Drosophila melanogaster: one gene and its partners. The protein of the gene in region 3 interacts with the protein of the main gene of each other region in a pairwise test. Each region holds a gene or a part of one and is shown on either strand. Other genes may lie near its edges.

The links.
Region 1: the proteins of Naa15-16 (region 3) and C901 interact in a two-hybrid assay, tested with the Drosophila melanogaster proteins (one large-scale study listed by BioGRID).
Region 2: the proteins of Naa15-16 (region 3) and CG9922 interact in a two-hybrid assay, tested with the Drosophila melanogaster proteins (one large-scale study listed by BioGRID).

What each region holds. Positions count from the first base shown.
Region 1 is NC_004354.4:10,963,525-10,971,102, reverse strand, and holds C901 (C901), read left to right. Parts: upstream 1-3,968; 5' UTR 3,969-4,035; intron 4,036-4,548; 5' UTR 4,549-4,550; coding exon 4,551-4,688; intron 4,689-4,754; coding exon 4,755-4,893; intron 4,894-4,953; coding exon 4,954-5,112; intron 5,113-5,320; coding exon 5,321-5,512; intron 5,513-5,583; coding exon 5,584-5,644; intron 5,645-5,847; coding exon 5,848-5,978; intron 5,979-6,036; coding exon 6,037-6,896; 3' UTR 6,897-7,071; downstream 7,072-7,578. Other genes in the region: vex (vexed), read left to right, coding at 1,635-1,711, 1,806-2,359.
Region 2 is NT_033777.3:14,032,993-14,038,749, forward strand, and holds CG9922 (uncharacterized protein), read right to left. Parts: upstream 3,407-5,757; 5' UTR 2,938-3,406; coding exon 2,832-2,937; intron 2,691-2,831; coding exon 2,629-2,690; intron 2,560-2,628; coding exon 2,452-2,559; intron 2,287-2,451; coding exon 2,188-2,286; 3' UTR 2,026-2,187; downstream 1-2,025. Other genes in the region: CG3061 (uncharacterized protein), read left to right, coding at 275-449, 514-928, 995-1,107, 1,170-1,333, 1,388-1,500.
Region 3 is NC_004354.4:19,477,226-19,486,681, reverse strand, and holds Naa15-16 (N(alpha)-acetyltransferase 15/16), read right to left. Parts: upstream 6,699-9,456; 5' UTR 6,061-6,698; coding exon 6,004-6,060; intron 5,665-6,003; coding exon 5,176-5,664; intron 5,085-5,175; coding exon 4,297-5,084; intron 4,231-4,296; coding exon 3,803-4,230; intron 3,731-3,802; coding exon 3,078-3,730; intron 2,999-3,077; coding exon 2,741-2,998; 3' UTR 2,039-2,740; downstream 1-2,038. Other genes in the region: pcm (pacman), read left to right, coding at 1-277, 341-421, 490-579; mRpS14 (mitochondrial ribosomal protein S14), read left to right, coding at 6,806-6,868, 6,929-7,252; CG32533 (uncharacterized protein), read left to right, coding at 7,425-7,998, 8,059-8,589, 8,644-9,014, 9,077-9,274, 9,343-9,456.

The DNA of each region.
Region 1 (7,578 bases), 8.5 Mb from region 3:
ATTCGTTTTTACTTAGCTCCATTAACGCGCTCAATCAAATATTTTCTTTGATGTGTGACTTTAAAATGATTATAATGTTTCAATTATTTGTAATTGAATTACTGTGCTTTTGCATTTTTTGATTTGTGTGCACTTTAAAAGGTTAATCAGTTAATAAATTAAAAATTCTGAGCTTTGTGGTTCATTTTACATTTTATCCCTTCATTATCCGTTTATCGCTGACAACTCGTCACATTTTTTTTTTTTTATAAATCAGTGGGCTTTTAGAGCGAATTTTTAGCCAAGACCGCCTTCCTGGAACTGGCTAATAATAAGTGGCTATTCCTTCGCTCACCGCAAGCCAAGCATAACAATTGCTTTTTATTTTATGATTGCCGTGGCTGTAGGACCTCGTCCTGCTGCTGATTTTGCCTCCGTTTCCTGGCCAGACAAATACCCCCGGCCCAAAAATTGCTTGTCTTTAATTATGTTTTGGTCCTCGAGTTTTGTGCATTGCCTTGTTTATTTTTATTACTCGGCGCGTCGTCGGCGCCTGTTTATTTACATTAATTTTTTCAATTTACCTTTATTACCCGGGCGCAGAGGGTCCTTCGGTTCGCTTTATGCCGGGACTTAATTAAGCTTTCAGCTGTTTCCCCTGCGCCTCGCACAATCTCCAATGGCGACTCCCATTTTAATACAAATTCTCTTTATTTATGACTCGGCATTGGGGGGGGGGAGTCTTGTTTTCTGCGGTCTGAGTGCGACGTCAATTTCCATTTCCGCTGCATCCTGGCTAATCTGCCTTCATCATTGGAGCAGCAGCAGCAGCAGCAGCAGCAGCCAGCGTATATTAGCTATATATGGCTATATCCACGAGTTTCCCCTCTTTTTTATTTTTGCCCTGGGGTTAAGTGGCCTGGCTTTCCGGTGGGTGGGAAAGTGGTAGGTAAAATCAAAAATGCCCCAAAATGTCGGGCACTTTTGAAATTTCCTACGCAATTTCCGTTGTCAACACCTTGACAGCTGTCAGACGCACACACAGACACTCTCGACACTCTTGCACACTTACACACGCACACCCGCACACCACACACTCAAAGGCACTTGTCAGTTCGATTTTTCGCCTGCCATGTTTGTTTTTGCTCTTTTTTGCCTAACGGAAACGGAAATTGTTAGGCTTAATAGACAATTCGCATTTCCTCTTCCTTTGAAGTCCTGTATTCAGCAGCCCGCTTCAGTCCGCACAATTGCACAAATCAGTGCTCCTGCTGCTGTTTCTGTCTACTTTGCGTCCGTTGATGGAATCTGAATCTGAATTACAATAATTGTAATATTTAACATCTCAATGGCCAGCCAGATCCTTTGCTCCTCTAATGAGGCGTCACCGAAGGACATGCATAATCAATGAAGGACCAAACGGACGAATGAATCGCTCAATGAGCGACTGAATGAGTGAATACCCAAATAAGCGAGCGTTTCGAAGGCGTAGGATGCAGATTATGAGGATGGATTAATTAATTAAGCATTATTTAGCCAGTGAAACCGATTTCATCTTTAAATCTATTTGAATGTTTTGCAAATTATTAAGATATTCGCATCTCTTCTTTGTATAATTATTAATAATTTGCGCTATTCTTAAACTTTCTTTATAGATACTGCGTGGAATTCGAGGTAATAAAATCATCTAAAGCCTGCAACAAGTTGCCGCCATATAACCTGATGACAGAAGGTAAGAAAAATCAAAGTAACTAAAGTAGTATTTAATATTTATGCAATCAAATGTGTAAAATAATATTTTGACTGTCTTGTGTTTTATTTTCCAGGCGATCGCATCACGGTGCGCTGTGACCTTGAGGCATTGATCCAAGACTCAGCCGGCAGCTCCACCACCGCCAGGACACCACAAGGACCCACTACGCCGTCCACGACCACAGTTTCATCCGCAGCCTCTGCCTTTGGCCAGCGTACGGATGACCTTGAGGAGGAGCGACTGCAGCGTGAGACCAGCAGCGAAGAGGAGGCGACCAATCAGGATGGCGAGGCGGAGGAGGAGGATGAGGAGCCGGAGCAGGATGAGCAGGATGACCTGCAGAATGCCCTGGACTCGGACAGCAACGAGAGTACCGACTACCGTCACCAGCGGCAGTCGCAGATGTCGCAAATGTCGCACAGCCGCCGGACAGCGGGAAAGCGCAGCGCTGTGCCGGCCACGCCCTCGCCCACGCTGCCGCCCACCTACCATTGCCGGGGGGAGGGGCTGGCCGGACGCACGACACGTTGGAGCGCGCTGCCGGCGCCGTCGTGCCGCGGCAAATGGCTCCGTCTGACCGTCGGTCCGCCCAAGAAGTGCGGCCACGCCCAGTTCATCTTCGTCTAAGGCGACGTGGTCATGCCGCCCACTCAAGTTGCGGTGTCCATTTTTTTTTTTCTCCGTGTAGGTTATGGTGTACGGTCTCCCCCACTCATCATATCATATCATATCACCCGCGCCCCTGCCACGCCCCCTCACTTCCGGCCCAAAATCAATAAAGTACCCCATCGTATGTAAGCGTTTAAACATTAAGCCAGTGGATTAAGAAGATCATAGCATATGTATGTATATGTATGTGTGATGAGGTCAGGATTTTTTTTTTTGTTTGTCTCGCTAGAGAAGAGAACCGGAAATAAAGGATACACTGCCAGTGAAATATAGGGTATATATGGAGGAATATCACATATTTCTGAAGTTTTCGAGGGGTTCTACAATTTCGGACTACTAACTTCTGCTCTCTTAGATACTTTATAAATTTAAAAAAAAACTTCCAAAGACTTATGATCTCCTCCACACACATGATATTCATCATATAACCATATTGATATCACGGCTGCTGTGGACTTCCTTCGGTTAGCATTTCTCTAATTAGTTAAGGAAACACTCGCGTGTAAGCATTTGGGCTCAGGACCCAATCAACAACTCAATATAAATGCTGGGGGTCTGTGAAGACGCTCGGATCTCGGATCGGATAATACTAGAAACTAGAGACTAAGTCATCAAATACCGCATAACATCTACAGTGAAAATGGAGTCGAGCTGCGTAGTGAAAGAACCTATATATACATGTATGTGGATGTGCACGAGTGTATCTGTCTAATCGTTAGTTCCCCCCGACTCGCAAGCATATAGCACACACACGTTCTACACATAACATAACATATATGATACATTTGTCAAAAGCAAATGATTAAGGCCCACAATTTTTGGTTACCCAACTGGCAGACAACCCTCTGGAGTCGGAATTAACGTTTGGATCTTAGTATTAATCTGGATTTTAGGTACACACGAATGTCGAAATAATTATTATAATTATAATTAAACCAATAATGAGATCATTCAATAAAGAACGAGTATAATTTTAAAGTAAACCAATGTTGTCTTTGAACATTTACCAATCTAGAGTCTTGAGCCATCCTGGTTTATCTACAACTTGTTTGGTGACTCGATCGTCAGTGCTGCACAGTGGGTCGAAAGTAATTGTAAAATAAAATAAAATAAATAGTTTTTGGGCATATAAAAAGAAACATTTAATAGTTAATGCTATTAAAGCATTTAATAGATTGGATATGTAGGCATATAGATCTTTATAGTATAATTACATTATTAATTTAAAATTGTTTCAGATTTTATTTATTTCCTGATTTTGTGGTACAAGTTTTCCTAGTTTTCTTCTTTTTCAAAGTGTAGAGTGGTCCATAAAAACCATATCTGGACCCACTGTGCTTGAGTACTCAGCTGTTTTGGGTTTACCGGTTGACCCAATTACCACCAATGGTCGGTTAGGTGCCTTTCAGCGCTCTTTCTCTGGCTTTGCCTCTCGGCTTCGAGGCTTGAGTTCACGGTGAAGGCCAGAAGAATGACAGAGAGAAGAGCGAAGACTTGACTTGACTTGACTTAAAGAAAGAGTCGAGAATCGGCCAGAGGCAGCTGGTCCGACGAGGCGGCTACTTGATTAGTCCCAAAGCGATCGCAGACCGAGACGGACCGACGACAAGAAGCTGCAGTCTTAACCGTTAAAAGTAATTCTTTTGCATTTGCATTCTTCAAGTTTCATTTCTTCTCGCCAGTGGTGATTCATCAAGAAATCGGTTGTTTGGTTGTCGGGTTCTCTGTCGGCGGTGTGATTCCCGTTCTTTTTGGTTCGGCCGCGAAGAAAGTTGTCTTCAAACATGTTAATTGCGACGAGGGGCCGTGGGCCGTCGATTTCTTTTAACGGTCTAAGTTTGGCCAAACGAAAACACTTTTCGTTTAAGCCGATAATCGAAAACATCTAGACATTTGACAAGGCCTACACTTAGGTTTTCTTTATTCAGTCATAAAGTTCAGCACATTAAGTTGGTTTAAAGTCTAAGAAACTTTTTTTGTGAAGAGGTCGTTAGATCCGACTTAGATGATCTTGCTTTTTATGTACACATAAAAGCCATTATTTGCAGGGAATTTTAACGGAGTAGTCAAACGTATAATATTAATAATATTATATTTATTAATAGAAACAACAAACACTTATTATATTATTATTAAATCGGACTTAGATATGTTGTCAGACAAAAAGGCGGCTCTCCTGCTGGTGACCGCGATTACCGCCCTCAAATTGGAGGAAATGAATGCCTATAGACGCAACTTCGATGCGCGGCAAAGTAGTAATTCGAATATTCCACTCTGGAAACAGCGAGTAAGTTGGAGAACCTAACGTTCATAATTTTCTCGAACCAATTCCGAAAATATTCGATTACCTAAGGCCTGTGAGAAATCACAGAAACAGCGGCAAAATGCACACTATGTTTGCGATGAAAAAGGTGACTTCAAGTGCCTTCCTGGGTGGCAGGGTGATCTTTGCCAGGTGCCTATGTGTCGAAGGGGCTGTGACCCGATGAATGGTATGTTTACTCCTTCAGATGATTCCCTATCTTGTGACCCCTGAACTCACATTCACACAGGTTATTGCCAGCGACCCGGTGAATGCAGGTGTCGCATCGGATACAGCGGCGAACTCTGCGACAAGTGCATTCCGCTTCCAGGTTGCCAACATGGCGGATGCACCAAGCCATTCGAGTGCATCTGTAAGCCTGGCTGGGCGGGACTCTTCTGCACGGAACGTAAGTAGTTACCGGAAAAGGATAAGCCTGATTACAATCTTACATTTAAAGAACGGAGCATTTAGAGAAGGAGTTAAAACATAGGGAACTAATATCGTTTTGGGGGTTGTACTTGTTATATGACATTTCCAATCAAATCAAACATTCCTAACTCTGTCCAATCCGATTACTCAATTGCCTGTTTCCTCCAATCCGCGCGCAACCAAAGCAAGTTGCCGTACCGGATGCCACAGCACCCGTGGATATTGCGAAGCGCCTGGGGAGTGCCGCTGCCGGATTGGTTATGCTGGACGCACCTGCTCCGAATGCGCCACGATGCCGGGCTGTCAGCACGGCACCTGCAACAAGCCACTGGAATGCCTCTGCCTACCCGGATATACCGGACTACTTTGCCAGACGCGTAAGTCCTGCAACCACCAAAGGAATCCGCCATTCACCCTACTAATCCCAAACTCCATTCCGCCATTCCAGCAATCTGTGACCCAGATTGCAGCAAGCAGCACGGATATTGCCGCAAACCTGGCGAGTGCCGGTAAGTAGGAGCAGCATTTCAATAAAGAAAATGCAGAAAATGTGGTTTCGGCAAGCTGGAGTGCCCCTTTTCGGATAAGTCAACTATTTTTATCCTTAATTTAACATTCCCAAGCATTATGGCTCAGTTAGCTAACAGCAAACTAACAGCAAAACGAACCCATATCTGTCATCAATTTTCACGGACATCCCCTTCTTCTCCAGCTGCAAGGTGGGCTGGACGGGTAGCCAGTGCGACAAGTGCTTCCCGTATCCGGGATGTGCCAATGGGGATTGCGAGGCGCCATGGGAGTGCAACTGCCATCCCGGCTGGGGCGGAATGCTGTGCGACGAGAGTGAGTATATCCGTATATGTGACCATGCCAACGGGAAATTGACCGAGTTGACCCACAGAGCTCACCTACTGCGTGGAGCATCCGGATACGTGCGAAAACGGGGGCAAGTGCACATCGCTGAGTCGCGAGGATGGGAGCTACCAGTGCCAGTGCCGGCAGGGATTTCTGGGCAAGAACTGCGAGATACGCGATGACTTTCTGCTGACCTCAGAGGCGCCACCGCGAATCACACCGCCCACACCCGCTGAGCTCGTACTGGAACTAGATGGCGAACTGGACCAGAACGGGCAGCAGGACATCGGTGCAGGTGTGCCCGATGACAGCGAGCCAGGAGGCGGGCTGGTTGGAGAAAAGTTGCCAGCGGGTAACGAGCCGGAGCGGCGGAAAAATGACACGGTAGCCAACGTGGCAACCGCAGGAACTGGAGCTGGAGCAGGACCCATGAATTCACTACCCGGCAACAGCAACGCCACAAGGACGACATTGGTGGTGGCAACTGAAACTGGCAGCGACAATGCGACTAATGAAGCGTTAAGCGCCGTTACAACGAGGCGTGCCACCCCGATTCCCCTCACATCTGGCGAAAAAACCGTAAAGGGTAATGCAACAAGCGTGTCGGTAGCGACAGGACCTCAGCCACGCCCCCCGCTGCCCATCGTCGCTAGCCAGGAGCAAACAATAGCAAATTTGGCGCCAGCTGGAACAGTAACAGTAACAGCAACAACAGCACCAACGGCTACAACAGCCGCAACATCCGTGACCAGCCACAAGGATAAGCCAAATGTGGCAGACGAGGAGGAGGACGAAGATGACGACGATGATGAGGAGGATGAGGATGGCGAGTACGATGAGGAGGAGGATGAGGACGAGGACGACGAGGAGGATGACAGCGATCAACTCATACCAAATATTATATAGTTAAGAACCTGACAAATGACAAGTAATCCCTCTTATATATATATACACATTGTTCAGTTAAGGGCCCACATATGCAGCATCTCAAAGCAATTTTTTTTTTTTTCTGAATATTTATTATTAACTAATGAATGAAACATCCAATTAAAAAACTCCATCCATTGCGATAGATATACATATATAAATTGTATTTATTTATGATAATTTTAGGGATTAAGCTAAGCAATTTTCGATTTAACAAATGTCAAAAAAAAAAAATGATATTATTAAAGTTTGCTAATCTTAAGTGCTACAAGAAATCGTTGAATCGAAATATGAATAGGGGACCAGAGGATTGGACTCAGAGCCTGTGGGAGTTCAATTCCTGCACTCGGATTGCACTTGGTTCGCTTAAACTTAAGACAAATGGGGGACTACGAGCTCGGGTTTGAATGGGGATCTATATGGCCATCTTAGCGCCACCGAGTTGGGGGTAGTACGATTGGATTGGGTATCGAAAATTGGAATATGGAAACCAGCACATCATAGACATCTAAACATACATATGGACTCTTGCATATGGGCGTTAATAAATATATGTAGTAACTGGTATGGGAGACTTACGAATCGACAAAAAAATATGTAGAAGTATGGGAGAGAGAGAGAATGACTCAATACAATATCGATACGAATAATAATAATAATA
Region 2 (5,757 bases), on a different chromosome or scaffold from region 3:
TTTCGTGGGTAAGCCAGGTAGAGTGGTACGATCTTTATCGAATTAGCTTTTAACATACAGCCTTGACGATATTCTAAAGATGAAAAGCAGTAAAGTAATAGTCATTACACAATACAAGAGATGCGTTGCATTCATTATTTTCACAAGAGCATTATTGCAGCACCTTTGTTTTAAAGTCCTTGTAAAACTTAACAACAGATCAACAACATCATGCCACAGCATTAAATGAATATTGACCTTTGACCTGCTGACGTGTTTCTTTTCCATCTTGTAGAGCTACTTGCCCAGTTGAAGAGCACTCCGAGCAACGAAAGCAATGGCAAATCCCGTACAGCGGGTGCCAGCGATGAGAAGGACAGCGGGCCGAGGAAACGTGTGAACTCGGATTCCCGTTCCAGTGCCCCAGATTACACCAAAGATCAGTTGGAAGCTGTGCGAAAGGTCAAAACGTAGGTACCACTCTATATAGCCAGCCTTTCACATTACTAATTGCATTTGTGCATTTGGTATTAGATGTAAGGACTACTACGAAGTACTGGGCGTTAGCAAGACGGCCACTGATTCGGAGATCAAAAAGGCCTACAAGAAGCTAGCTCTGCAATTGCATCCCGACAAGAATAAGGCTCCTGGTGCGGTGGAGGCTTTCAAGGCTCTCGGCAATGCTGCTGGCGTACTTACGGATGCCGAAAAGCGCAAGAACTACGATCTGTATGGCATCAATGAGTCGCACAATGGTCACGGCAACAATGGTGGCGGACACCATGGACACGGGCAATACTACAACAACGAGTATGGATATTCGCGTGGATTCCAGGCTGACATCAGTGCCGAGGAGCTGTTCAACATGTTCTTCAACGGCGGATTCCCACAGCAGAATGTCCATATGCGGCAGCAGCGACGTCGTCAGCAGGCTCGCGAGGATCGAGAAGTAAGTGTACCGAGTCGAAATCATTTGTGCACATTATAAACGACTGCCTTTTATCTCCATATCAAGGGTAACAACTCTTCGGCCTTGGTAAACTTGCTGCCCATCGTGCTGCTCATTGGACTCTCCATGATGTCGTCCTTCTTCATCTCGGACCCAATGTACAGCTTGACGCCCTCTCAGTAAGCAAACCAAATTAAAAATTAGCTTAGCACTAATGTGGATTCATTTCTCTAATCCGCAGTAAATATTCGGTGAAGCGTGAGACGAACTCCCTGAAGGTACCATACTACGTAAAGGACAACTTCTATTCAGAATATCAGGGATCAGTGGCCCGATTAGAGGAATCCGTGGAAGAGGACTTTGTGAATCATCTAAAACACTCCTGCAGTCGAGAGAGGAATTATCGTAAGTTAGGCAGAGGAACTATACTAAACTGATATTAACATAAACGATTTACAGGCGACTCAATGCTGGCCAAGGCGCGTACCTTTGGCGATCGGGATCTGTACAGAAAGGCGCAGAACATCAATACGCCATCGTGCGAGAATCTGCAAAAGTATTTAATCACATAAATTAGTTAATGCTATCACACGAAAAGCTACTCCTCAAATCCACCACTATTTGAAACCTTAACTGCTGGGTTGTGTAGTTATTGCATATTTTGCTTTAGTTGTTATAAATGAATTTCATTGTCTATTTTGTTTCATAATTTATATGTCTATTTAAATACCTTCCCTCTCTCCCCCAAAAAAAAAAATGAAACGGAATGAAACGTATAGAGCTGCTATGAGGCATCAGGTTTTCCCCAATAACGTTTGGTAGCATTTTCATTTCGTATAGAAAGCAATCGGGCAATATGTGAAAGCGAAGCAAACGCAACTGCCAAAAAGTCATATTTACACGATTTACGAATATAAGTGGGCGGCTGAGACGAAGGACTTTGCGTTTGTTTCATTTAGCAATCGGATACATAAATTATAAACATAAATTATACACGGATACGACGCATCATCACATTTTTCTTAAGGACACGGAACGCATGGGCAGTGGCGATATTCTGAATAAAATTGCAAGTTATTATAACTCCAAAATAAATTCGTTTAGACGATGTAAGCACTCTCACTCATTTGTGGGCTTAAAAGTCTTTTTGTTTTGTATTGTTTTCTTCGCTAGAGTTTATAAATGTACAAATAAAGCAGTGTGTTGTTACGCTACATAAAAGAAACAGACGGCGGATTGCTTCGGATTCCACGAGCACCTCAATTGCTGATGATGGCTTCCAAGGCGGCCACCACATCGCCGCTCTGCTCGCGGAGCACTTTCTCGGCATGCGCCTTGCTAACCAGCAGCTCGTTCATCTGAAAGGGCAGAGGGGAAGGAAACCATTACAAAAGGAAGATCGGAAGAAAGTTATCTATGGGAAACCAAAGGAGGAAATCTAAGGGAACTGGAGCTAATGCAATGAACTATATTTGTATCTCTACAATGAAAGGGAATACTTCCTTGTAGTTTCGCATACGTACAATCAGTTCAATGTCCTCCTTCTTGACTTGGACCTTCTGGAGCTCCTTCTCTTTGGCTACTCGCAGTTCGTTCTCCTTGTTACGCTGGTTGCCAAACTGCTCCACGGCCTGTAAATTATAAAAAAAAAGGATGTTGTTAATACAAATATTGCCTTGCTAATAAATATATGAACTTACGCTGGATATATTGTCCGCAGAGATCTCCTTTTCCTCGGCATAATCCGTCACACGTTCCAAATCTAAAAGCAAGATGAAGTTTTAGTATTAATACTCCATATTTATTAAGGATTGGTGCACAATACATGATATTTCATAGATGCCAGTCATTTTTTTGCAATTTTTCAGTGGAATGAGTTGCGGCATGTGAAATATTTATTTACCTGCGGCGCCGTCGTCATGTCGTTTCACATCGGATTTCTTTTGCTTTTTATCCTGCTCGTCATCCTCCACTTCTTCTCTGCCGTTGATTTCCGCTGCTTCCGTCATTTTCAATTGTTTTTTTTTATGTTTAATTCAATAAAAGTTCCGAAATTCTTTGCGATTTCTTCACCTCGTGCGATTAGAGATGGACTACTAGCGATAACACAATCGACATAATTTAACTAATAATCTATGAGTGTTTGCTTGGCTTTTATTGTAATAGTTTTTGAAGTTTTTTATGTAATTTCGAATTTGGAAATTGTGTATTTTCAATATGCACTTAGCGCTGTATTAAATTAATTGCATTTATGCTGCGTGTCAGCGTTGCCACCTGTCTGTTTTTGATCGAAAGCGACAGCCCTGTTTCAAAAGGCGCGCAGTTTGAAAAGTGTGCTTCAACAATTGTACACTTCCAACCAAAGAAACAGTAAAATCATCAAAACGCCAAGAAATAGTGTCATATTGTTAAACAATAAATTAAACGAAGTTGATTTTGACAAGAAAGGCGAGGAGAGGAGAGCAGTTAAAAGTTGACCCCACAAGTTTTAAGCAAAACATTGACACATCTTTCTTTAAATTTAAAGTCAATGCTAAAGTTTTTAACCGCAAAACTAATTAAAAATGTCTAGCACATGCAACGTAAGTAACTGCTTTTGGCGCTTTGCTCGTTTCTTTCGCACATTCCCAATTTTTTTGTGCTGCGGTCGAAATGTTAATTATAAGTTTGATGCTCCGGCTATAATTAGATTTTGAAGCAGTAGAGACATGCATACTTCTCTGCTCTGATGTGCGACATCCTTTTTTTAGTTCAGCTCCCCCGCCGCTCCTCTAGTCCACTGTGTGTGTGTGTCACTGTGTCCTGTGTGTCCTGTTGACATAATCGTTTGCCATCATGATTAATTTAATTGTCACTTTGACGTAAAGGACACTCACAGTTCCTCCTGCTTGCGTGCTTTTGCCCGGTTTGAAAATCAAGATTAATTAGCATCCATGACCATGGGCGGTCAACATCATTTGTTAGGGGGCGTGTGCGCAGATGGGGGGTTGGTTTGCACCAAAAAAAAAAAACGGGGGATCCACGGGGTGGCGACATATGTGCACTGCATTTAATTCGATTTTATTTCGGCAGCTCCGGATTTTTCATCGGAATTTCGCATGCGGAGCGCAAGTGATCGGAAAATGAATAAGAAATGTGAAATGTGGGAATTTTTGTGGTTTTAACTCAGTCACACAGATACCCTTTAAAAGTGGAAATATCTGTTGAGAAAGTGAAAAAGTCATTATATAAACAATTTGTAGTTCGCTTAATTAAGCTTAAATAAAAGTAATTTTCTAATCAATGACAATTTTATGACTAACAGTATTTGAAAAATAAATAATAATACTTATTTAATATATCAACTAATTTACCTTTTTCTTTTGAAGAGTACGCAAAAGGGTTAAATGCATTTTGTTTACCCGCGCAATCTCAGCTCAAACGAAGCATATGCGATTGGCAGCAACAGGCATTGCATTTGCATTTGCATTGTTAGCCCAGTTCTCATTTTCCATTTTTCCATTTTCCCCGATTTTTCACCACTCGCTTTCCCCATTTTTTTTCTCCCCGTTTTCCGTTTGCCAATTGGAAATTAAATTATGGTGCTAATTAGCGCAGCACATAAATTAAGTTGCCAATTTCGGTTGCCATTGTGGTTGGCAATGGCAAATTGAGCGTTGCATATCCACAGGGGCATCCTGTTCCTTTTACTGTGTGTTAGTGTGTGTGTGTGTGTGTGTGTGTGAGTGCTTGCGTGTGTGTGTTGGTGCTGGCACCCGAAAATTCACACAGTATCTTTTCTTTTTTTTTTTGCCATTTTTTCGGGGTTAAATTCGCTTGCGTGACGTAATTTAACTTGCATTGTCTTCGCGAAGGGCAAACATTTTGTTCGAATTTGTTGTTTTCCCTTCTGGTGGTTACTTTCTGCGTTTTACACTCGGTTTTATTGTTTCTTTTTTTCTTTTTGTTGCGGTTTCTGTTCTTTTTATGCCAACTTTTTAAGTGTGCAAAATAGATACAAAGATAGCACAGACGACAGGCCATAAATGAGTTATCAGGATTGTGTAATAATTTAAGGCGCTAGAAATGCAGATACATATATGTTTTAAAGGGATTTAGACACTTAAAAATATATGACATGTGTAGATACTTTAAAGAGTACAAGCTTTAATTTATTTGTTTTTTTTTCTGTTATATTTAGAACTTTCTGCTCTCTTGTCTTTCCGTGTTTTAATTACCAACACCCGAATGTAAATTTTGTTGATTATCAATTTGGAAATGCTCGTTGCCAATTTAATTCAAGAATTTGGCAATGAACATGTGTTCAATTTGCCACACCTCCATCAAAAATCAGCATTTCTGCTGGCTTCCTGCTTCATTTTGGGGCATTCCCTTCACGAACTGAATGCAGAATGCAATTGGCTGCACATACAGACGAGTTCACAATACTAGCAATGAAAATACAAAATTATAAACTTTTCTGAAAAATCAAACTGTATGATGGAGTAATAAAGATATTTGCTAGCTAACAAATATACATATATAAATTTTTTCAAATTCATATTTATTTAAGTTAAAGTGTCCTTTGTTTCAATACATTTTTGAGTCGAAATTTGTGGCACCTGCTGTTTAATATGGCACTTGTCTGCGTGATTTTCAGGATGCCACGGGTCGTGTCGTCTGTGGCCAAATGACATTGGGCTGTTGGCATTCGTGGCCAGTCAGTCAATAAATAAATTAGCATAGCAAATAAATTAAGAAAATGCAATTTTCAAGAACTGTTGCACAGACGACGCGCCCTGCCACGAATTTTCCATTCAAATGTGCGATTCAAGGACGGTCTTTAAATT
Region 3 (9,456 bases):
GCAGCAGCAGCCACTCCAGCTGACGGAGATCAACAATGCGCCACCGCGATACTCAACGATCCAAGATTTTGTGCCCATACAGGCGTACCGTCCCAAGAAATTAAATCGCGTCCAACCAGCCGGTCGTCAGGACGTCGATGCCACCAAGAATCCTAGTCGTTCGCCTGTGTTGCAGCAACCGACGAACGAGACTATAGACACAAAGGCCAGTTCTAGTCTTCCGGTACAATCAGCAGGCGAACAGGTGATTGGACTGATGCAAACGCTTGAAATTAAGGTAAGCATTGGCTACAAGTCAAAGCCTTGATTACCGAACTAATGCTTTCCTCTCGGCCGACAGCAGCCGGCTGCGTCGCAGTCCGAATCTGATGGGGTCTCAACAGGCAGTGCGAACGCGCCCACAGCAACGACATCATCCCAGGTAATGGAGGAGATAGAGATAGTTATTCTGCATAATTTACTCATTCCATTTACTCGCTTCTGTTGCAGGCGGTCAACCGAAGGAAGCATCGAGTGCCTCGCATCGGAGCCAAGTTCGACTTGGAATACATACTGCCCGACTCCCCGCATCCAACTTAAGAGCGAACAAATGGGTATTTTTAGGTTCAAATCCCACCTAGCTGAAGAAATGCAACGCTATTTGGATCTTATATCACCTTATTTCTATCTCTCCTAGTCTGTGCGAGGCACTAGAATTGCCGCACACGATAGATCATTTTTTTTTTAGAGTTGCGGATTATGTGAATACTAAAATGAGACTGACTCGTCTTTATATTTTTTCAATAAACTGGACTTTACCCATATTTTGTTGTTACTCGATAGAATGCCAAGCTGCATTGTGTAAATTAGCTTTTAAGAAGGATCTGTCCTATAAGACGTATTTTGTTTTGAATAAAGCTGTCAGTGCCACGCAATCTGTGGCTAATTTCAAATGTATTGAGCAATCTCGTTCGTGATTTGTTTACAATCTTTGAAAATCTAGTGAAGGCAGATCATTTCAATCATTTCTATCAATTTGTTTTGGCAATTAAAATTCAAATGTTTTCTTTTGAATTCAAATCGAAACTCTGCACGTGTCGCGTGAGCAAGGAGTCGCAAATTCCTAAGAAATCTCTGACCTGGCATAGTTTTTTCGCTAGTTGTCGGTCGCAGAGCCTTCAGCTAGAGAATTGCCAGATCAGGGAGGCTATCGAGCTAGCCCTGTGATTATACTGTATTCTTGAATTTGGAATTTTGAACGATTTTTTTTTTGACAGCTATCGTCAATTGCCACATGACTAAATCATTGCGAGCAGGTTATTCCCAAAACGTTGCACAGAAAAATGGCAGGTAGGGAAGAAATCTTTTCCTCAAGTGTGGTCATTATTCCATGGTTCTCTCTCGCTCAGAACAAGAACAGCAAGAAAAACAAGCAAAAAAACAGGAAAATAAACAAGAAAGAAAGCAAGAAAATAAACCAAAACCAAAACAAAAGCGCCGAGCAATAGCCCAGCCTTCACTTGAGGTCAAGCTGCAGATTGAGAAAAAGCTTTCCCAGCCAGGATGGGAGGGACAGAAGCGCTACATTACCTCGGCGGGATCAGCCACGCTGACAATCACCACTAACGCAAGGATTCCCGAGAGTTTCGTCAAAATCTGCCGACATAAGGACGCCGTTGGGGTGCAGTCGACCCCAACGCGGGCTCACTCGAGCTTTTGTCGTTTTAAAAGACTCACCTATAAGCCGCGTGTCCTCAATCTGACCGATGAACCCGAAGATTGAGAGCTCCTGCTTGGTCTGGTTTCAATAAATGATGGCGTCGTTGCGCTTACTTATTTAATCCTTAGTTCAAACTGCAATGGTTTCTATATAGGTCGTTAGTAGATATACTAAATGTAGGCGGCTCAATTGCGATGCTAAACCAGCGCAAGCTGCTCAGAAATATACTAGAATGGGCACAAGGACACACAACGCATCCAGTGGAGTCAGTCCTGCCGCTCCTACTCTGCTCAATACAATGCGGTTTAGAATTAGAAGACTTGTCGTTGTGTACGAATTAAGGTTTTGATTTGCGTATAATTAATTACGACTTCATATGTACATACAATGCATTCGTTAAAAATAATAAAAAATAAGGTGTTGTTAAGAAAGCCAGCGGGTGTTGTCAACAAAGGTTCGTTCCGTTTGATTCAGTTTTCGAAATCCCACAACAGTGGATACAACAACTTGGTTAACTACATGGTTCGCGGTGACGAACGTTCGACGTGCGAATCCCACATATCACCTCCGCACCATTTCGTACCGGATTCCTATTCCTATTCCTCATCGACTCGTCCTCGTCCGAAACCATTTTGTAGGATGCTGTGTGACGGATGACGACGGGATGTGTTCTCAGGTGGCAGACTGGTAGGTGCCACGCACAAGGGCACAGCGCCAAGCCAACTGCCGCCTCAGATCTGATCCGTACCGGTCCAATCCGATCCGATCCGATCAGATAAACTCGGCCATGCCTAGAGCGGCTTGGCGTCCTCCTCATCAGAGCACTTGGTTTGTTGTTGTTAATAGTGAATTTTATTGTGGTTGCCGTTGTTTATAGAGCTAAGCTTATTCCTGTTCATATTGTTGGTTGTTAGTTAGGTTCTTCGCTTCACTTTTCGTTATTGTTGCTTTTGTTGTGTTTGTTGGTGTGGTGGCCGCAGATCTGTTGTTGCTGTTACTAACTTCTCGGGCCCGGGTATTAGTTAGTAGTCTTGTTTGGTCCTAAGACGCTGCCGCTGCCGTGGCCAAAACAGACACCGGTTCACTAGAATCAACGTGAATCAGCTGCTGCTGCTCTTCCTCGGCGCGCAGCTTGGCGGCCTCCTTCTCCTGCAGTTGAGCCTCCAGCTCCTCGACATTGCGAAAGATGCGGGCGTACTGGAAGCGTTGGTGGCACGCCTGCTGGTAGGAAGCGGCCTCTGCCTCGCACTCGCCAAACACATCGCCGTCCCGCAACGCTGTGTAGATTTTGGTGGCCTCCTGCGGAACACAATTCAAAGAGCAAGGATCAACAGGGGGCCAGTCAGTGGGTGGAGAAATGGGTTTGGCAGTCACTTACCTCCAGCCGGAGCTTGGCCAGGTTGAAGCTAGTGACCAGCTTGATGGCGGCAGCTTTTTTACTATTGTCCAGTTCGTACAGACTGCGTGCGCCCTCGTATAAATGCAGTATGGAAGCGTTGTGTTTGGCAATAAACTCATCGTTGAGCTGCTGGGGCGTCTTGCTGCCTATCAGTTCTTTGGTGGCCTTCTCCAGCACCTGCTGCACGTGCTCATTGAACGGCTGCTCCTTGGCGGCGCTGGTCAACGATTTAACGAAGCGAATAATGCAGCTGTGGATTACGGGGTGCGAGGCGTCGACGGCGCGAGCGCGCCGGATGCACTGCAGCATAAGGAGCAGTTTGTTCTTGCGGTAGTACAACTCGAAGGCCAGCAGATGCGTCTCGATGCGCTCCTTAGCCAGCTGCTGCAGCGGTTTCAAGAATTCAATGGCCTTGTCCAGCGGATCGTCCGTGCGCTCCAGCTTCTCGGCCACCAGCTCGTCCAACTGCGGAGCATCGGGGTCGGTCTCCTGGTTTGCCTGCTGTTTCGATTTCTGGTGCTGCTCGCGCTTCACCTGCGCCTGTGCGGCCTGCGCACTCTCCAGCTCAGCTTTCTTCTTGGCCTTGCGCTGTTTGCTGCGCAGCTTCTTCAGTTCTGATGGCGGCAGGTTCTCTGTAACGAAGAAAGGCGGTCATACAGCTAACTAGAACGAGCAAGGGAGCTAGTGGGGTAATGTCCACATACCAATGTCAATCTCTTCAATGGTTGTCTCCGACTTAAGCGGCTTGTCGTACAGACGAATGTACACCTCGATGGCGCACTTGGCCGCCTTGAAATAGAATGGATGCTGGCGTAGCACGTCCTCCAATCGCAACAGGCCAACGTAGGCGCGCAGCGTCATTTTACGCATGCAATAGGTGTGGAAATCGAACTGGTCCTCGACGATTTCGGCAAAGTGGCGCTCCACCTCGTGGCACTTCTTCAACGACTCGCCCCAGCGACCCATGCGCTGATAGGCCAGGGCACACTCCGTCTGGAACCACATGCACTGCATCTCGTTCAAGTTGTCCATGGCGGAGACACCCTCGCGAGTGAACTTGGCGCAGATCTCCTCTGCCTCCTGCACCATGTTGGCGCGCAGCATGTACTTCGCGCACTTCGAATTGATGTAGCTGAGGGGAAAACATTGATGGTTACATGGTTCAGCAGGTCTATGCTAGTCCATGGGGCTCACTCACCGATCTGCCGTGTCCATGCTTTGGGCCTCCTCCAGCCAGACGTACGCCTCCACGGGATCGCCAGCATGCTTAAAGATGCGACCCTTGGTGATAAGCAGCTCAATGAGTGTTGGCGTATGGTCGATAGCCACATTGATGTACTCCAGAGCGCGGTCCGTATCGCGCATGTAGTCGTAGTGCTGCGCCAGAAACAGTGCCGTCCACACCAGCGCCGAGGCCGGCTCGACGGGAATTCCGGCGTCGGCATCTTCGCGAGAAAAGTGGCCGGAACGGGTAAGGTTCTCGAAATACTGCAGCGCCAGCTCCTCGATAACGGCCGCCCTCTCCGGTATCTGGTGCAGAGTGCGCACGTTGACAAATAGCGGCGGAATGCCCTTACGCAGACCGCGGCGCAGGTACTCGTCGGTCACGACGCGAAACTCGTCGCCGTTGGCGATGTTCAAAGGCAGGCGGCGAGGGCACAGGGCGCGCGGATACTGCTCCTGGAACACGCGATAGATCGACACCACGGCGCTTGAGTCGGTCACCTGGCGGGCGGCAATGTACTGCTCGTAGTAGAGCACATTCTCCGGATTGCGGCGGATCAGAGACTCAAAGATGGGCACTGCCTTCTCCTGCTGCTGCAGCTTGATGTACAGATCACCCATGGTCTCGCGAACGGCCAGCTTGTCGACGATCTGGCCCTGGTATTTGGTCAGGTGGTCCACGGCCTGCTGCAGACGATTCGACTCGATGAGTATCTGGTTCTGGTAGAGCAGCAGCTCCGAGTGCCGATAATCGTGCGCCTCCTGCCCACGGAGCAGAGACATGGAACAAGAAATACGAGCATTTTATTGAATTGGAATATAAAATTGAATCGGCAGGCAGCTGGATACATACAATCGACGTTTGCGACTGGCTGAACGTCTCCAGGATGCTGTTGGCCATGTCGTAGTCACCCAGCAGATGGTAGCTCATGGCGAAACCGATCCAGGAGGCGTGCTGCGAGGGACGCAGCGTGAACAGGTGGTGGCGCGTCTCCTTGTAGCCCTCGAGGTCGCGCATTTGGATCTGGAGAAGCGACAGGTCCTTCAGGATCTGCAGGTTATCCTTCTCCCACTTGAGCGCGTTGCGGTAGCACTTGATGGCCTCATCGTACTTCTTGTCGCTGCGCTGGAGCAGTCCGTAGACGTGCCAGCAAACGTGGGAGCGCAGGTCGTTTCGCAGACCCAGACGCACATACTTGTAGGCCTCCTCGCGGCGCCCCAGTCCGTTCAGAGTAAGCCCCTTCATGGCCAGCGTCTCGCCGTGCTCCATGTACTTGGGGTTGGACAGGATCTGCTTGGCCAGTTTAAGGCCATTTTTGTACTGCTTCAGTTCGTAGCATTTCTGTTTGATAAGAAAGCACAGAGAAGAAAGGTTTTAGTCAAAGTTTCTCGCATCCCGCGCAGCGCGAATTTTGAGGTTATGAGACCAGCGGGCCGACCACAAACGTCGGCGGTTGAGCAGAGCTGTGCAATCGCCCGCTGAAGCCACACATCTCGAGCAGCGGAGGCATCGCCTCCGGATTGCTTCTGCCAAAAATAGGCACTCTCCACCTGACTTCGGCTAAAAAGCACATGGATGCCGAAGCCGGCCAAAGGCACGAACAAAGGGAGGGGGCGGCACAGTTGTGGTATTAAGGGAAGGGGAAGGTATGGGACAGTAGGGTCACCTAGACCGGCTTACAAGTAGCTTGCGGAAGAGCGCGCCCTCCTTGGGCGGCAGGGGATCGCTAGAAGGCATCTCTGCAAGGCTGCGGCTGCTCCTCTCTTCGGCCTGCTGCTTCTTCTGCTTGGTCGTTCTTGTTCTTCCTCAGCTGCTGACTGGGACTGGGTTTTCGCCTGGCCGTGAATTGCACCGGACTGCGGGATCTGTGGATCAGCGAGCTGAGCTGAGTTGCGATGCCTCTTCTGCTGCTGCTCGGAAGCGGAGCTGGACTCGATTGGCAGTCTATACGGAGTAGACACACCACACACACAAGGCGAAAACGGCGAACGGCAAACTGCGGGCACGAGCAAATTTCTAAATCGACGTGAGACGACCACACACACCCACACTGGCAAGCTCGACTGTGCACATGCACGCACTGGCGCACGCACACTGGCACACGTGTTCACGCGCTTCGCGGCGAATGGTAACAGCAATTGTACGCCACTGCGAATGGGTGTGAACGCGCTCGTTTTGAATCGCGCTGCTAGGCGGTTATGTAAAGCGAGTGAATTGTTAATTAAAACTTATTCCGAGAGGTCGAAAGTCAGCCGGCTTTCCATGTTTTAACCTTATAGATTCCACACCGCATGCTTCGCCATCGTATTTTTCATTTAAATTACCCAGTTCTCGTATACGAAAATAATAGGCAATAAATTTGCAATTCACTGTATGGGCTCATCAGCTGTTGCCTATCGATAGTCCCGCGCGTTAATAACCGACACTATAGCGAACAAAGTAAAGAGGCAAAAAGAAGAAGAGCACCACCGAAAGCAACAACATGAATTCTCTGGCCAGGATCGGGGGTTTTGTGTGCCAGTCCGTGCAAATAGCCGGCTGCGGGGTAAGTTAACATCGTACTCCTAGCTAAGCGAACATAATATCCAGCCCATTGTCTTAACAGCTGCAGCAGGTGCGCACAAAGTATGCCGATTGGAAGATGATTCGCGACGTAAAGCGGCGCAAGTGCGTCAAGGAGAACGCCGTGGAGCGGCTGCGAGTCAACTCGCTGCGCAAGAACGACATCCTGCCGCCGGAGCTACGCGAGGTAGCCGACGCCGAGATCGCTGCTTTTCCTCGGGACTCATCGCTCGTCCGGGTGAGGGAACGCTGCGCGCTTACGTCACGTCCGCGCGGAGTTGTCCACAAGTACAGGCTCAGTCGAATCGTGTGGCGCCACCTCGCCGACTACAATAAGCTGTCCGGCGTCCAGCGCGCCATGTGGTAGCATCTTCTGTTAGCAATCTAGGGAAATAAACCTTGTTAGTAGTCATCCACATTCCAGAATTGTGTTATCGGCTTGGGTTCTTGCACAGCTGACCGTTTATCGGTAGCAGTGTTATCGTTTGCTGTGGGAAGAAGTAAATACAAATTTTAGGAACTATTTTGCTTCGGTGAAAATGTCTCGGATAAAGAAGAAGGCAGATGAACATGCCTCCAGCCGCCGCAGGACTCAGATCAATCTGATCGAGTTCAGTTTCTTGGATCACAAGGCGGAGCTCGTGGGCCTGCTGCAGGCCAAGAGCCGCCAGGTAGGCAGGAGTCTGGTGGAGAACGAGGCTGACTTCTGGAAGTTCGTGGGCAAGTACGAGGCTATGATGCGCTCCACGGGCCAGCCCGTGCTGCCGCCTCGACTCGCGGAGGCGGAGCTGAGCAGCATGCAGCCGTATCACCGCAGCAAGCACTTGGCATTGCGGCTGGACGCTGACGAACTGCTTCAGGAGGCGCGCGACCAAATGCAGTCCCAGTTTCGTCATATCTTGCTGGTGTACTTAGACTTCCGCCAGACGGAAAAGTTCCAGCGTATCCGAAAGCTGCGGCAGACACAACGCAATCTACCCATTGCTCGCTTCCGGAAGGACTTGCGCGAGGCACTGGACACGTCCCGCGTGGTCATCGTGGCCGGTGACACTGGCTGCGGCAAGTCCACACAGGTGCCCCAGTATCTCTATGACTTTGGCTACCGCAGCATTGGTGAGTATGCGGCTTCCCATTGAGGCTGCCTTACCAATGATCGACCTTTTGTTGCCCTAGCTTGCACCCAGCCGCGCCGTTTGGCCTGCGTCTCCCTGTGCAAGCGCGTTGCGCACGAGCTGCTGGACGACTACGGCAGTCGGGTGGCATTCCAGATCCGATTCGAGCGCAGTCGGACGAAGCTCACCAACATCCTTTTCATTACGGAGGGCTTGTTGCTGCGGCAACTAGCGGTGGCCGCCAACCTAGACCAGTACGATGCCCTGATTTTGGACGAAATCCACGAGCGCAACTTATTCGGTGACTTTCTACTGGGTGTTACCAAGTGCTTACTGAGGGCGCGGCCGCAACTGAAGCTGATACTCATGTCTGCCACCATCAACGTGGAGCTCTTCCACGGCTACTTCGGCGAGGAGGGCGCACGGCTGGTCCAGGTGCCGGGACGTTTATTTCCCATCAAACTGCGCTATCTGCCGCCTCCTGCACTGGAACTAAAGGCGGGACAGGCGACATCCAAACGCTCTCAGAGAAACCGCATCGATCCAGCTCCATTTGTCCAGGTGCTTAGCCTTATTGACCAGCAGTATCCGAGTGAGTTTAGTTATCATGTTCTTGTAGGGATCGCCTAATAATCATCTTACCTAGCCAGCGAGCGCGGTGACGTCCTTATCTTCGTTAGCGGCGTAAACGAAATCGAATCTGTTGTGGAGGCCGTTCACGAGTATGCCACCGAACAGACTCATTGGCTCGTCCTGCCGCTGCACAGTGGCCAGGCGATCGCGGACCAGAGCAAGGTGTTTGACTACGCACCCGAGGGCATGCGCAAGTGCATTGTGTCCACCAACATAGCCGAAACGTCGCTCACCGTGGACGGCGTGCGGTTCGTGGTCGACTCTGGCAAGGTCAAGGAGATGAACTTCGACGCAACCTGCAAGGGCCAGCGTCTGAAAGAGTTCTGGGTGTCCAAGTCGTCTGCGGATCAGCGCAAGGGTCGTGCTGGTCGCACGGGACCAGGTGTAAGCTAGAACCTAACCCACGGTTGCTCCATTTCTCATACATTCCCACTTTCCGAGCGCAGGTCTGTTTTCGGCTCTACACTGCGGAGCAATACAACGCCTTCGAGGCATATCCCACTCCGGAAATTTACCGCGTGCCGCTCGACACGATGCTGCTGCAGATGGTGTCCATGGGATTGCCCGACGTCCGGGCCTTTCCATTCATAGAGGCCCCGGAAACGGAGCGCATCGAGCAGACTATTCTGGCGCTAAAGCAACACGTGAGCATTTCACCGATACCCAACTGTGTAGACCCCAATTCAACCGGACTTCTAATCTCTAATTGCAGTGCGCCCTCAGCGTGGAGGAAAAGATCACACCGCTGGGCAGATCGCTGGCCAACTTGCCCGTAGAGCTGTCCATCGGCAAGATGCTGCTTATGGGCAGCGTGTTTCCCGAGGTG